Linked DNA regions of Coturnix japonica. Each later gene encodes a partner of the first gene's protein in a complex. Links are inferred from orthologs where the notes say so. Each region holds a gene or a part of one and is shown in the gene's direction. Other genes may lie near its edges. The genes, in order: DPM2, DPM3 and PIGC.

Region 1 (3,746 bases):
TCACCCCTCCTGTGCTTTAGCTGAATAATACCCTGGTGACTGAGCCCTGTGGACAAGGCTGGTCCCCAGGGGTGAGTTACAGCAAACACTGCCTGGTAGCAAGTGTTTGTGCTGCAAAACCACTTCCTGGATGCATTGGGGGGGGGTCCATGTAGATTTATCCCCCCCTTTTCCTCCCAATGGGCTGATGGGGGATGAGAGGAACATGGGGTAAAGCTTCGAGCTCGAGGTGTGGCTGAGCCTATTCACTTTGCCTCAACCCTAAGGATTAAATGGCAGAGCCCGTATTTTTGTGGTGGGGGGGAGGGAAGGGGAGATCCTGCTTTATTTTCGTGAGGGTTGTTGAGCCGGGTGACGTTTGGAAACTCGATTTATATCAGATTCTATAGAGAGATGGCTGATATTTTTGGAAAGGGAACGGCTCTATGCAAACATCCACCATCGTTAGAAGAGAGCAAAGTAATGGTGGTGGGCTCTGAGTTGGTCGGTTGGTTTTTACTTTGAAATCTTAATAAATCTCTTTAACTTTTTCTTTCCTTTCTTAAAGCAAAAAGGTGTTTAGAAAGAAACGCTGCTCCACTGCTGTGTGTAATGGTGATGGTGGCAGCTCGGGGCTGGCGGGCAGGGCTTGTTTTGCACCATTTCTGTCTGGTTTGGGTCTTGTTTCTTGTCAGGCCGCTGTGCCGTCATCGATCCAACAGGCCGTGTTTGTATCTTCTGTATCTGGTTCCTAACGTAGAGAAATAACAAATATATGAGGAAATCAATATCATGGCAGACGTTGTTTATTGGGTTCGGGGGAAATAAAGGTTGTTTTTTTGGTACTTCACACCGATTTTCCTGGTTTGGTTGTGGTCTTTTTGTGGTTCTAAGTATTTTATGGGGGGGGGTTGCCCTAAATATCAGCTAATTACCCCAGTTGTGAGAGCCCTGCAGCATTTTTTACCCTAAATATCGGCTAATTGCTGCAGGGCTCTCACAAATGGGGTTTTTTTGCCCTAAATATCAGCTAATTGCTGCATAGTTCTCACAAATGGGTGTTTTTTGCCCCAAATATCGGCTAATTGCTGCATGGTTCTCACAATTGGGGTATTTTTGCCCTAAATATCGACTAATTGCTGTAGGCCTCACCACTAGGCCCCGCAGCTCTTCCGAGCACCTCGGGAACTACAATTCCCATCATGCACCGGGTGACTCGTGCTTTCCCACAATGCTTTGCGCTCTTAAGCCCTTCCCACAATACTTTGCGCTCTGAGCGCTCTTCCTGTTTCGGAGAACACGTGGCCAGTGTTCTGCTCGCTGGTTGGTCGATCGCTCCCGGAAGAACGGGGAGGGCGGAAGTGCCGTGTGGTGGCCGTCGCCATGGTGAGTGAGGCTGCGGCCTACGGCCCGTCCCGTCTGTACCCGGCCCTGCCGCCCACACGGAGCCCTGACTGTCTGCAGCCCTGACTCTCTGTCCCTTTACAGGCTACAGCGACGGACCAGGCGGTCGGGTTCGGTTTGGTGGCCTTCAGCCTCGTGCTGTTCGTGTACTACACGCTGTGGATCATCGTGCTGGTGAGGGGATGGCGCTGGGTTTGGGCCCTGGGATGGTCGGGCCTGCAGGCCTCGTTTAGGAGCTGCAGGAGCTGGGTGTGCACTCGGTGCTCCACTCAATGCTCCTCTATGGAGGGAACTGGGCTCAAACCTGCTGCTGCTGGAGGACTTGGGTTCCCCCCCTTGATGTGCTCCCAGCTGTAGGGTCGGGTTCATACAGTGCAGGAGTCATTGCAATGCACTGTAGCATCCAAAGTGTCCCAGCCATGAAAGGATCCATGTGACAGAGGTTGGATGTCAGGGGGAAGTTCTGCACTAGGAGAGTGGTGAGGCCCTGGAACAGGCTGCCCAGGGAGGTTGTGGATGCCCCGTCCTTGGAGGTGTTCAAGGCCAGTTTGGACGGGGCCCTGGGCAACCTGATCTAGTAAAGGCGTATGTTTGGTGGCCCTGTCAGGCAGGGGGTTGGAACTACATGATCCTTGAGGTCCCTTCCAACCCGGGTCATTCTGTGATTCTCCACCACCTGCAGGTTCAGACACTCTTTTTTTAGCCGTCCCCTCCAGCCCCATGTTTCTGTTCTGCTTTTGAAACCCCACAGCTGCACGTGTTGGTGACTTGCTCTCATGTTGTTAATCCCCTGCTCTGTTTCTGCAGCCCTTCATTGACAGTGAGCACAGCATCCACCAATACTTCTTGCCCAGGGAGTACGCCGTTATCATCCCCGTGGTGGCTGGGCTGCTGCTGCTGCTATTTATAGGTGAGTATTATTCTGGTCGCTCTAATTAGAGGCTTCTAAATTAGGAAGAGAAAAGAGACACTTGTGCTGTATGTGGTCCCTGCAGTGGCTTAATTTGGCACAGGCGTTTGTGCGCACACACGTGTAACTTCAGCTGTTTATTCCTATGAGAATTAGAACTGTTTCTTGTGCTCTGCTGAGGTTCCATTATTCGCTGTGTGTGTTTTAATGGTGCTTTTCATTTGAAATTTTCGGGTTGAGTCTGTTCTCTCTCATTCCTGGTAGGTGTTTTTATAATGGTTGTGATGTGGAAGAGCAGAAAACCTGCCCGGAAATCAGACTGAAGGCCCAGCTGAGAGATGGAGAGAAGGCCCCCAGCCTGCAGCACCAAGCAGCCTCCTCCTCCAGAGCACTCAAAGCAGCAGCAGTGCCAAGTGGCTGCTCTTTCTCCCACATTCCTTCCTCAAAAGACACAGACTTGTGTAGTTTACAACTTACAGACTAAAGGGAAGCAAATCTGACCCGTGGGACTCACCAGGAGAGGGACCAGAGCTCCAGCTGGACAAATGTGCACCCCAGCTGAGACTACGTGCAGCAGCTTTGCTGGGCTGGGATCCAGCAGCTCTAATTGCAGAGTGTGAGTTCAGTTCTGGCCCCCAGCAGCTGCTCGGCCTCTGGATACTCTTTCCCCTCTTTGCTGCATACGGTAGTTTATTCCTTCTGGGATTTTCTTTTAAACTGGAAGAGCTAATGATGGTGCTGTGAGCTCTCGTTTCTGATGAGGGCCCTGTGAGCTGCACCCACCTCCCCTCCTACAGTCACCCCACTGAGGATGCAGCATGACCTGGGTGGCAGAGGAAGCATTTAGCTCCCTTACCAATGAATGTCAGCTGCAGTCTGGGCTCCTGCCTGCACTGGGTCAGCCCTGAGCTCCTGGTGGCTATAGTGAGCTGCATTCATCCTCAATAAAGTTCTCTGAGCTCTTTGTTCTTCCATGTCAAGTGCAGAGCTGCAGCTCCAGCCTCATTCCCCAGCCACCCCTCACCCCTGCAGGGAACACAGCCCCCCATTGTACTGAAGGACCTTGATTTCTAGGGCCAGTCCATCACCCTGTCCCAATTGCAGCTGTGCAGAGCTTTATTCCTGGAGAAATACAGGAGGGGGCAGCTCCCGCTGCCTGCCCAGGGCTGCCACAGGGCCCCAGTTGTGCATCCAGCTCCTGGTGTGGGATGAGCACAGGCTGCTATGCTGCAAAGGGCAGCGCCCCTATAAATATCCCTGTTGCTGTGATGGGAGGTGGCTGCTCCAGCTGAAGGTCACGGCTCTGAGCATGAATTCCTTCTCAGCACACAGCGCTGTGCCCCCAGCCCAGGCACATTGTGGGGTCTGCAGCCATGGAATGCAGCCCTGTGCTGTGTGTGTGTGGATCCCTGAGCTCCACTTGCTGTGCCTGTCAGTGCCATCACTGTCAAAG
Region 2 (2,948 bases), on another chromosome or scaffold:
GGAGGGAAAGGAAGGCAAGTGGGGGAAGAGGAAGTAAGAGAGGAAAGGGGGGGAAGGGGGGAAGTAAGGGGGGAAATGTGGGGGGGGGAGGAAGCAAGGGGGAAGGAAGGGGTGAAGGGGGGGTAGGGAAGTAGGGGGGAGAAGGGGGGGATAAGGACGGGGGGAAAGGGGAAGGGGGGGAGAGAGGGGGGTAAAGGGAAGTAAGCGGGGGAAGAGGGAAAGGGAAGAAGGGAGGAAGAAGGGGAGAAAAGGAGGTGAGGGGAAGAAAGGGGGGAAGAGGAAAGGGGGGAAAGGGGAAAGGGAAATAAGGGGGTGGGGGGGAGGGGGGAGAAAGAGGAGGAAGGGGGGGGAAGAAGGGAAGACTGGCGAGGGGAAGAGGGAAATAAGATGGGGAAGGGGAGGAAAATGGGGGGGGTTAGGGAAATAGGGGGGGAAGAAGGAGGGAAGGGGGGGAAAAGGCAAGTAAAGGGGGGAAAGGGGAGGGAAGAAGGGAGGAACGAAGGGGAGGAAAGCGAAGGTAAGGTGGGGACAGAAGGGGGAAGAGGGGGGGGATGGGGGGGAGGGAAAGGGAAATAAGGGGGTGGGGGGAGGGAGAGTAAGGGGGGAGGGGCGATCGAAGAGGAGGAAGGGGGGGGAAGAAGCGGAAGATGGGAGGGGAAAGGGAATAAGATGGGGAAGGGGGGAAAAGGGGGGAGGGAAATAAGGGGGAGCAGGGAAGTAAAGGGGGGAACGGGAAGGGCAAGGGAAGGAAGGAAGGGGGAAATGGGGAGGTAAAGGGGGGGTAAAGGAAATAAGGGGGGGAGGGGGGGGGAATAGGAGAGGAAGTGGGTGGGGGGGGGGGGAAGGGAAATAAAGGGGGACATGGAGGCGCAAGGGGGGGGGTCGTAGGGGTCGTGGCGGCCCCCCCCGGTCCGTGGTTGTGGTTCTGTTGGGGTTTATGGGCTCCAGGCCGTGGGAACACACTCCGGGCCTGTTCCCACGCCGGGCTGTCACACACCGGAAAGGAGGAAGCCGGCTGCTTCCGGATTGACCGGAAACGGAGGACAAAGAGCGGCGTGTTTCCTGCCGGACCGGAAGCGGAAGGCGCATGCGTCAACCCACGTGGAGCTGTGCTGCCGTACTGCAACTCCCAGCGTCCCCCGCGCGGCGCGCTCTAGTGACGTCACGACGCGACGGCAGGAGAGAGCGCCGCGTTTGGAGGAGTGAAGGTGGGGTTGGGCCTGGGGGGGCCTGGGCCTGGGCCTGAGCTGGGGTATGGGGCCTGGGGGGGTCTGAGCCTGGCCCTGAGTTGAGGCCTGGCTGGACTTGGGGCCTGGGTTTGAGCTTGGGTTTGGGGCCTGGTAGGGCCTGGCTGGACCTGGGGCCTAGTGGGGCCCGGTGGGGTCTGGTGGAGCTGGGGCCTGGTGGGGTCTGAGCCTGGCCCTGAGTTGAGGCCTGGCCGGACTTAGGGCCTGGTGGGGTTTGGGCCTGGGCTTGAGCTTGGGCGTGGGGCCTGGTGGGGCCTGGTGGGGCCTGGCTGACCCTGGACCTGGGGCCTGGTAGGGCCTGGAGGGATCTGAGCCTGGCCCTGAGTTGAAGCCTGGCTGGACATGGGGCCTGGCTGGGTTTGGGCCTGGGCTTGAGCTTGGGCGTGGGGCCTGGTAGGGCCAGGCTGGACCTGGGGCCTGGTGGGGCCTAGTGGGGCCTGGTGGGGTCTAGTGGGGCCTGGTGGGGTCTGGTGGAGCCTGGTGGGGTCTGGTGGGGCCTGGTGGGGCCTAGTGGGGCCTAGCGGGGCCTGGTGGAGCCTAGTGGGGTCTAGTGAGGCCTAGTGGGGCCTGGTGGGGCCTAGTGGAGCCTGGTGGGGCCTAGTGGAGCCTAGCGGGGCCTAGTGGGGCCTAGTGGAGCCTGGTGGGGCCTAGTGGAGCCGCCTGGTGGGGCCTAGTGGAGCCTAGCGGGGCCTAGTGGGGCCTAGTGGAGCCTATTGGGCCTAGTGGGGCCTGGGCCTGGCCCAGCATTGCCCAGAGCCGCTCTCTCCCACCACAACCACCTCCTGACCCCGTCCCCATCTCCCCGCAGGCCGCCATGACCAAGCTGGCTCAGTGGCTGCTCGTCCTGGCCCTGTTGGGCTCCTGTTGGGTCGCTCTGGTTCTGGCCCCGTTCAGCCCGCAGCTCCCGGTGCCGGTCCGGCAGGTCCTGCTCCCTCTCCCCATTTACCTGCTGGTCGTCTCAGGTTGTTTCTCGTTGGCCGCCGTTGGTTTCCGTGTGGCCACGTTCAATGACTGCCCGGAGGCGGCGGCCGAGCTGAGGGGTCACATCGCCATGGCCAGGGCCGACCTGCGGCTACGGGGGATGGACCTCAACCCGCAATAAAGGGCCAGGATGGGGCTGAGCGTGTCCTGATGGGGGGCATAAAGGGGGAGGGGGGGATGTGGGTCACGGCTGCTCTGGGGTCCCCTCTATAAGGTTCCCTTTGTGGGTTTCTCTCTATAGGGTTCTCATTGAGGGGTTCCCATTGTGAGGTTCCCTCTGTAGGGCTCCCGTTGTGGGGTTCCCTCTATAGGGTTCCCTCTATAGGGTCCCCATTGTGAGGTTCCCATTGTGGGCTTCCCACTACGGGGTTCTCTCTGTAGGATTCCCATTGTGAGGTTCCCATTATGGGGTTACCATTGTGGGGCCCACATTGTGGGGTTCCCTCTATAGGGTTCTCAATATGGGGTTCCCTCTATAGGGTTCTCAATGTGGGGTTCCCATTGTGGGCTTCCCACTATGGGGTTCTCCCTGTAGGGTTCCCATTGTGAGGTTCCCTCTATAGGGTTCCCCTTGTGAGGTTCCCATTATGGAGTTCCCATTGTGGGGTCCCCTTATAGGGTCCTCATTGTGGGGTTCCCCTTGTGAGGTTCCTATTGTGGGGTTCCCTCTATAGGGTCCTCATTGTGGGGTTCCCATTGTGAGGCTCCTATTGTGGGGTT
Region 3 (3,158 bases), on another chromosome or scaffold:
TAGGGACTGCAAAAGAAAAAAAAAAAATCATAAAGAAAAGCTAATGAAAAAGCAAAAGCTTTCCCACCACCATCACTGCACAGACATCTACAGAACAGGAACCAGTTGTCCCTTGCCCTCAAGCTGACTGAGAATCCCAGCAGTTCCACCTTGTTCTTCTCTCATCATGGCTGCCAGGGGAGTTTGGCAACCCAGGAGCTCTGAATCCTTTGGTATTCAAACACCTCCAGCAGAGGCCTAGATCAGTCACAGCTATTTAAATCCCAGCCTGTCACCTTTTCCAGCATGGCTTCCAAACAGCTTTTAGCAGCATATTGCAGCGCAGGAGCCCTGCAGGAAATAAACACGTCTGCAGTGGGGTCAGTTGTGCAACACACTGGCGAGCAGTGAGCTCTGAGTGGGTCTGAAATGCAGGTGGGGTGGGTGGGGAAGCAGTCAGGTCCCCCAGAGCTGAGGTTATGGCAACAAGTGCTTCACAGTGCTGACTGTGGGGCAGGATGGGTAGCATGGGTAGCAGCACCCAGTGTTTCACTGTATGAGGGCTGGGCCAGTCTGGGGTCCACATCCCACCCCTGCAGCTGGTGAGGGAGATCTTGTTGCATGGGATGAAGACACACACGAAGCAGTTCTCATCCTTGACCTCAGGCACCACTCGGGTGTGACGGACCGTCCCTCTCCCAGCTGCTCTGCTGTCCCTGCCAAGGCCACGTCACCTCGGGTGGGCTGAGGGGTGACTGCACAGCACGTGTTCCCTCGACTGGCAGGGACAGGCGGTGACGTGGCCGGTCCCATAGTCACAGGTCTGCTGTGCAGGTGATTCATTCCCCGCAGAGCCTAGGAGACCTGGAGGGCTGAGCTGCCCTTTAGACCTCGGGCAGAGAGTTGTCCAGCGGGGCACGAATGCACCATGGCAGCAATAGGTGCCGCATCTCCCCATTGCCGAGGCGCTGCGGTCACTCACAGCAGTCCCAGGGGCAGGCGCCCCATCGTGCTGTGATGCAGCTGCAGGCAGCAGTGGGCGGTGAGCCGAGAGGAACGCGAGCAGGAAGCAGCGTCAGTGCACGATGGGTGGCAGGGGGAGCCCATCGCTCCCGGCTCACCCCGAAGAGTTAACTACATGTTGTCGGCTCGGAAGCGACCTTATTCCCCAACAAGTACGAGACCGATTACAGTCACCTGCCCGCACACCGCCACTCCCGGCCCTTCTCCTACCGGCTCCGGCCCCGGAGGCAGCGACACCCGCGGGCAGCGCCGCGCTGTGCGGCCGGGCAGCTCCGCCAGGGGGCGGCTCCGAGAGCCCCGGCGTCCATTGCGCCGCGCCGGGCCCGGCGGAAGCGGCGGGAGCGGGGAGCGGGGCGGCGGGTTGGGAGCGGGGAGGGGGGGGTGCGCCCCGTCCTCGCGGCTGGAGCTCACATCGCGGTTAACCCGCACCTCGCTCTTTCCCAGGGCCCTGAGAGCAGCCCCAGGCTGTGAGCGGAGGAGCGGGGCGCTGTGCCGGCCTCCTCTGGGCCGGCCCTGGGAGGATGGTCTGTGCGCAGGTAGAGACGAGCCCGAGGCGGTGCTGGCAGAAGGTGCTGTACGAGCGGCAGCCCTTCCCCGATAACTACGTGGACCAGCGGTTCCTGGAAGAGCTGCGGAAGAACATCCACGCCCGGCAGTACCAGTACTGGAATGTGGTCTTCGAGTCGGGGGTGGTGGTGCAGCAGCTCTGCAGCGTGTGCGTCTTCGTTGTGACCTGGTGGTACATGGACGCCGGGGTGCTGAGCCCGCAGGGGCTGTTTGGGGCGGCCCTGCTCACTTCTCTGCTTGGCTACATCCTCTTTGATGCCATCGACGCCGGGGTCGGGCGGCAGGAGAGCGGGCGGACGCGGTGGGCAGACCTGAAAAGCACGCTGGTGTTCACTGCCTTCACCTACGGCTTCTCACCGGTGCTGAAGACGCTGACAGAGTCCATCAGCACAGACACCATCTATGCCATGTCAGCCTTCATGCTCCTCGGCCACCTCATATTCTTCAACTACGGTGCCAACGCCGCCATCGTGTCCAGCACGCTGTCCCTCAACATGGCCATCTTTGCCTCGGTGTGCCTGGCCTCCCGCCTGCCTCGCTCCCTCCACACCTTCGTCATGGTCACCTTCGCCATGCAGATCTTCGCCCTCTGGCCCATGCTGCAGAAGAAGCTGAAGGCCCAGACACCGTACTGCTACGTGGGGGTGACGGTGCTGTTCGCACTGCTGGCCCTTGTGGGGCTGGCGAGCGTCTCCAGCGTGGGTGCTGTGCTCTTTGCCTCACTGCTGCTCTCCATCTCCTGCCTCTGCCCTTATTGCCTCATCCGGCTCCAGCTGCTCAAGGACAACATCCACGGGCCGTGGGATGAGGCTGAAATCAAGGAGGACCTGTCCAGGTTCCTCATGTAGGCCTGGCCAGGGGGAAGCAGTGCCCTCTGCTGTGAGGGGCCTCTTTGGGACACAGCTCCAAGGGGACACCTAATCCAATAAAGACTCGCGCTCTAGCAGGGAGTGCATCTGTGTGTGTTGTGACTGCGCTGGGCTGTGGGTGAGCAGGGAGGTGCTGGCAGACCCATGGCAGTATTTTTGTCCAGCCACCGAACCAGAGGCACAAAGCAAAGTCTCTCTGCTTTCCTGTGGTGGCCGCCCAGCCGCAGGGTGCTGCAGCTGTAATGGGAGCCATGCTGGTCCTTCCTGGAACAGTCCAGTGTCTGATTCCATGCACCCCACAACAGAGGGTCCTCTAAGCCAAAAAGTCAAACTGGAGGGCATCTCCAGATGAGCCAGCCCTGCTGTGCTGTTGTTTTCCAGAGGCAAGTGGTTCAGCAGAGCATGAACTTGGCCAAAGTTGCAGCACCCCAGGCTTTTTGGTCTCACCAGAGCCTTCCTGGTGCTGGGCAGGAGGCCGGAATTCAGGGGCACTCACAGACCTGAGTACACTCACACATATCTTGCATGCACAGCCACACTGCCATGTCCATCCGCATACAGCAGCATCTCTGCAGACTGTGGGACCACAGCTGCTCATTCCTGCAGTATTTATCCCTAGCGTTAAGATAAGAGGAAGCACTGCTCCTTTCAAAGTGAAAGACAGAGTGAGTCAGATCCCTCCTGCTCTGGAGGCAGCACAAGGAGGTTTAAAACAGCCAA

The links.
Region 2: DPM2 (region 1) and DPM3 share a complex: the UniProt entries of both Homo sapiens proteins name them as parts of the dolichol-phosphate mannose (DPM) synthase complex. The link is inferred for Coturnix japonica from reciprocal best matches to the Homo sapiens genes DPM2 and DPM3.
Region 3: DPM2 (region 1) and PIGC share a complex: the UniProt entries of both Homo sapiens proteins name them as parts of the glycosylphosphatidylinositol-N-acetylglucosaminyltransferase (GPI-GnT) complex. The link is inferred for Coturnix japonica from reciprocal best matches to the Homo sapiens genes DPM2 and PIGC.

Annotation. Positions count from the first base shown.
Region 1 is NC_029532.1:3,618,200-3,621,945, forward strand, and holds DPM2 (dolichol phosphate-mannose biosynthesis regulatory protein), read left to right. Parts: upstream 1-1,264; 5' UTR 1,265-1,362; coding exon 1,363-1,365; intron 1,366-1,467; coding exon 1,468-1,557; intron 1,558-2,190; coding exon 2,191-2,293; intron 2,294-2,557; coding exon 2,558-2,616; 3' UTR 2,617-3,257; downstream 3,258-3,746. UniProt on the Homo sapiens protein: Regulates the biosynthesis of dolichol phosphate-mannose. Regulatory subunit of the dolichol-phosphate mannose (DPM) synthase complex; essential for the ER localization and stable expression of DPM1.
Region 2 is NW_015439963.1:35,670-38,617, forward strand, and holds DPM3 (dolichol-phosphate mannosyltransferase subunit 3), read left to right. Parts: upstream 1-955; 5' UTR 956-1,208; intron 1,209-2,055; 5' UTR 2,056-2,061; coding exon 2,062-2,349; 3' UTR 2,350-2,368; downstream 2,369-2,948. UniProt on the Homo sapiens protein: Stabilizer subunit of the dolichol-phosphate mannose (DPM) synthase complex; tethers catalytic subunit DPM1 to the endoplasmic reticulum.
Region 3 is NC_029523.1:7,059,290-7,062,447, reverse strand, and holds PIGC (phosphatidylinositol N-acetylglucosaminyltransferase subunit C), read left to right. Parts: upstream 1-826; 5' UTR 827-1,154; intron 1,155-1,446; 5' UTR 1,447-1,523; coding exon 1,524-2,417; 3' UTR 2,418-2,519; downstream 2,520-3,158. UniProt on the Homo sapiens protein: Part of the glycosylphosphatidylinositol-N-acetylglucosaminyltransferase (GPI-GnT) complex that catalyzes the transfer of N-acetylglucosamine from UDP-N-acetylglucosamine to phosphatidylinositol and participates in the first step of GPI biosynthesis.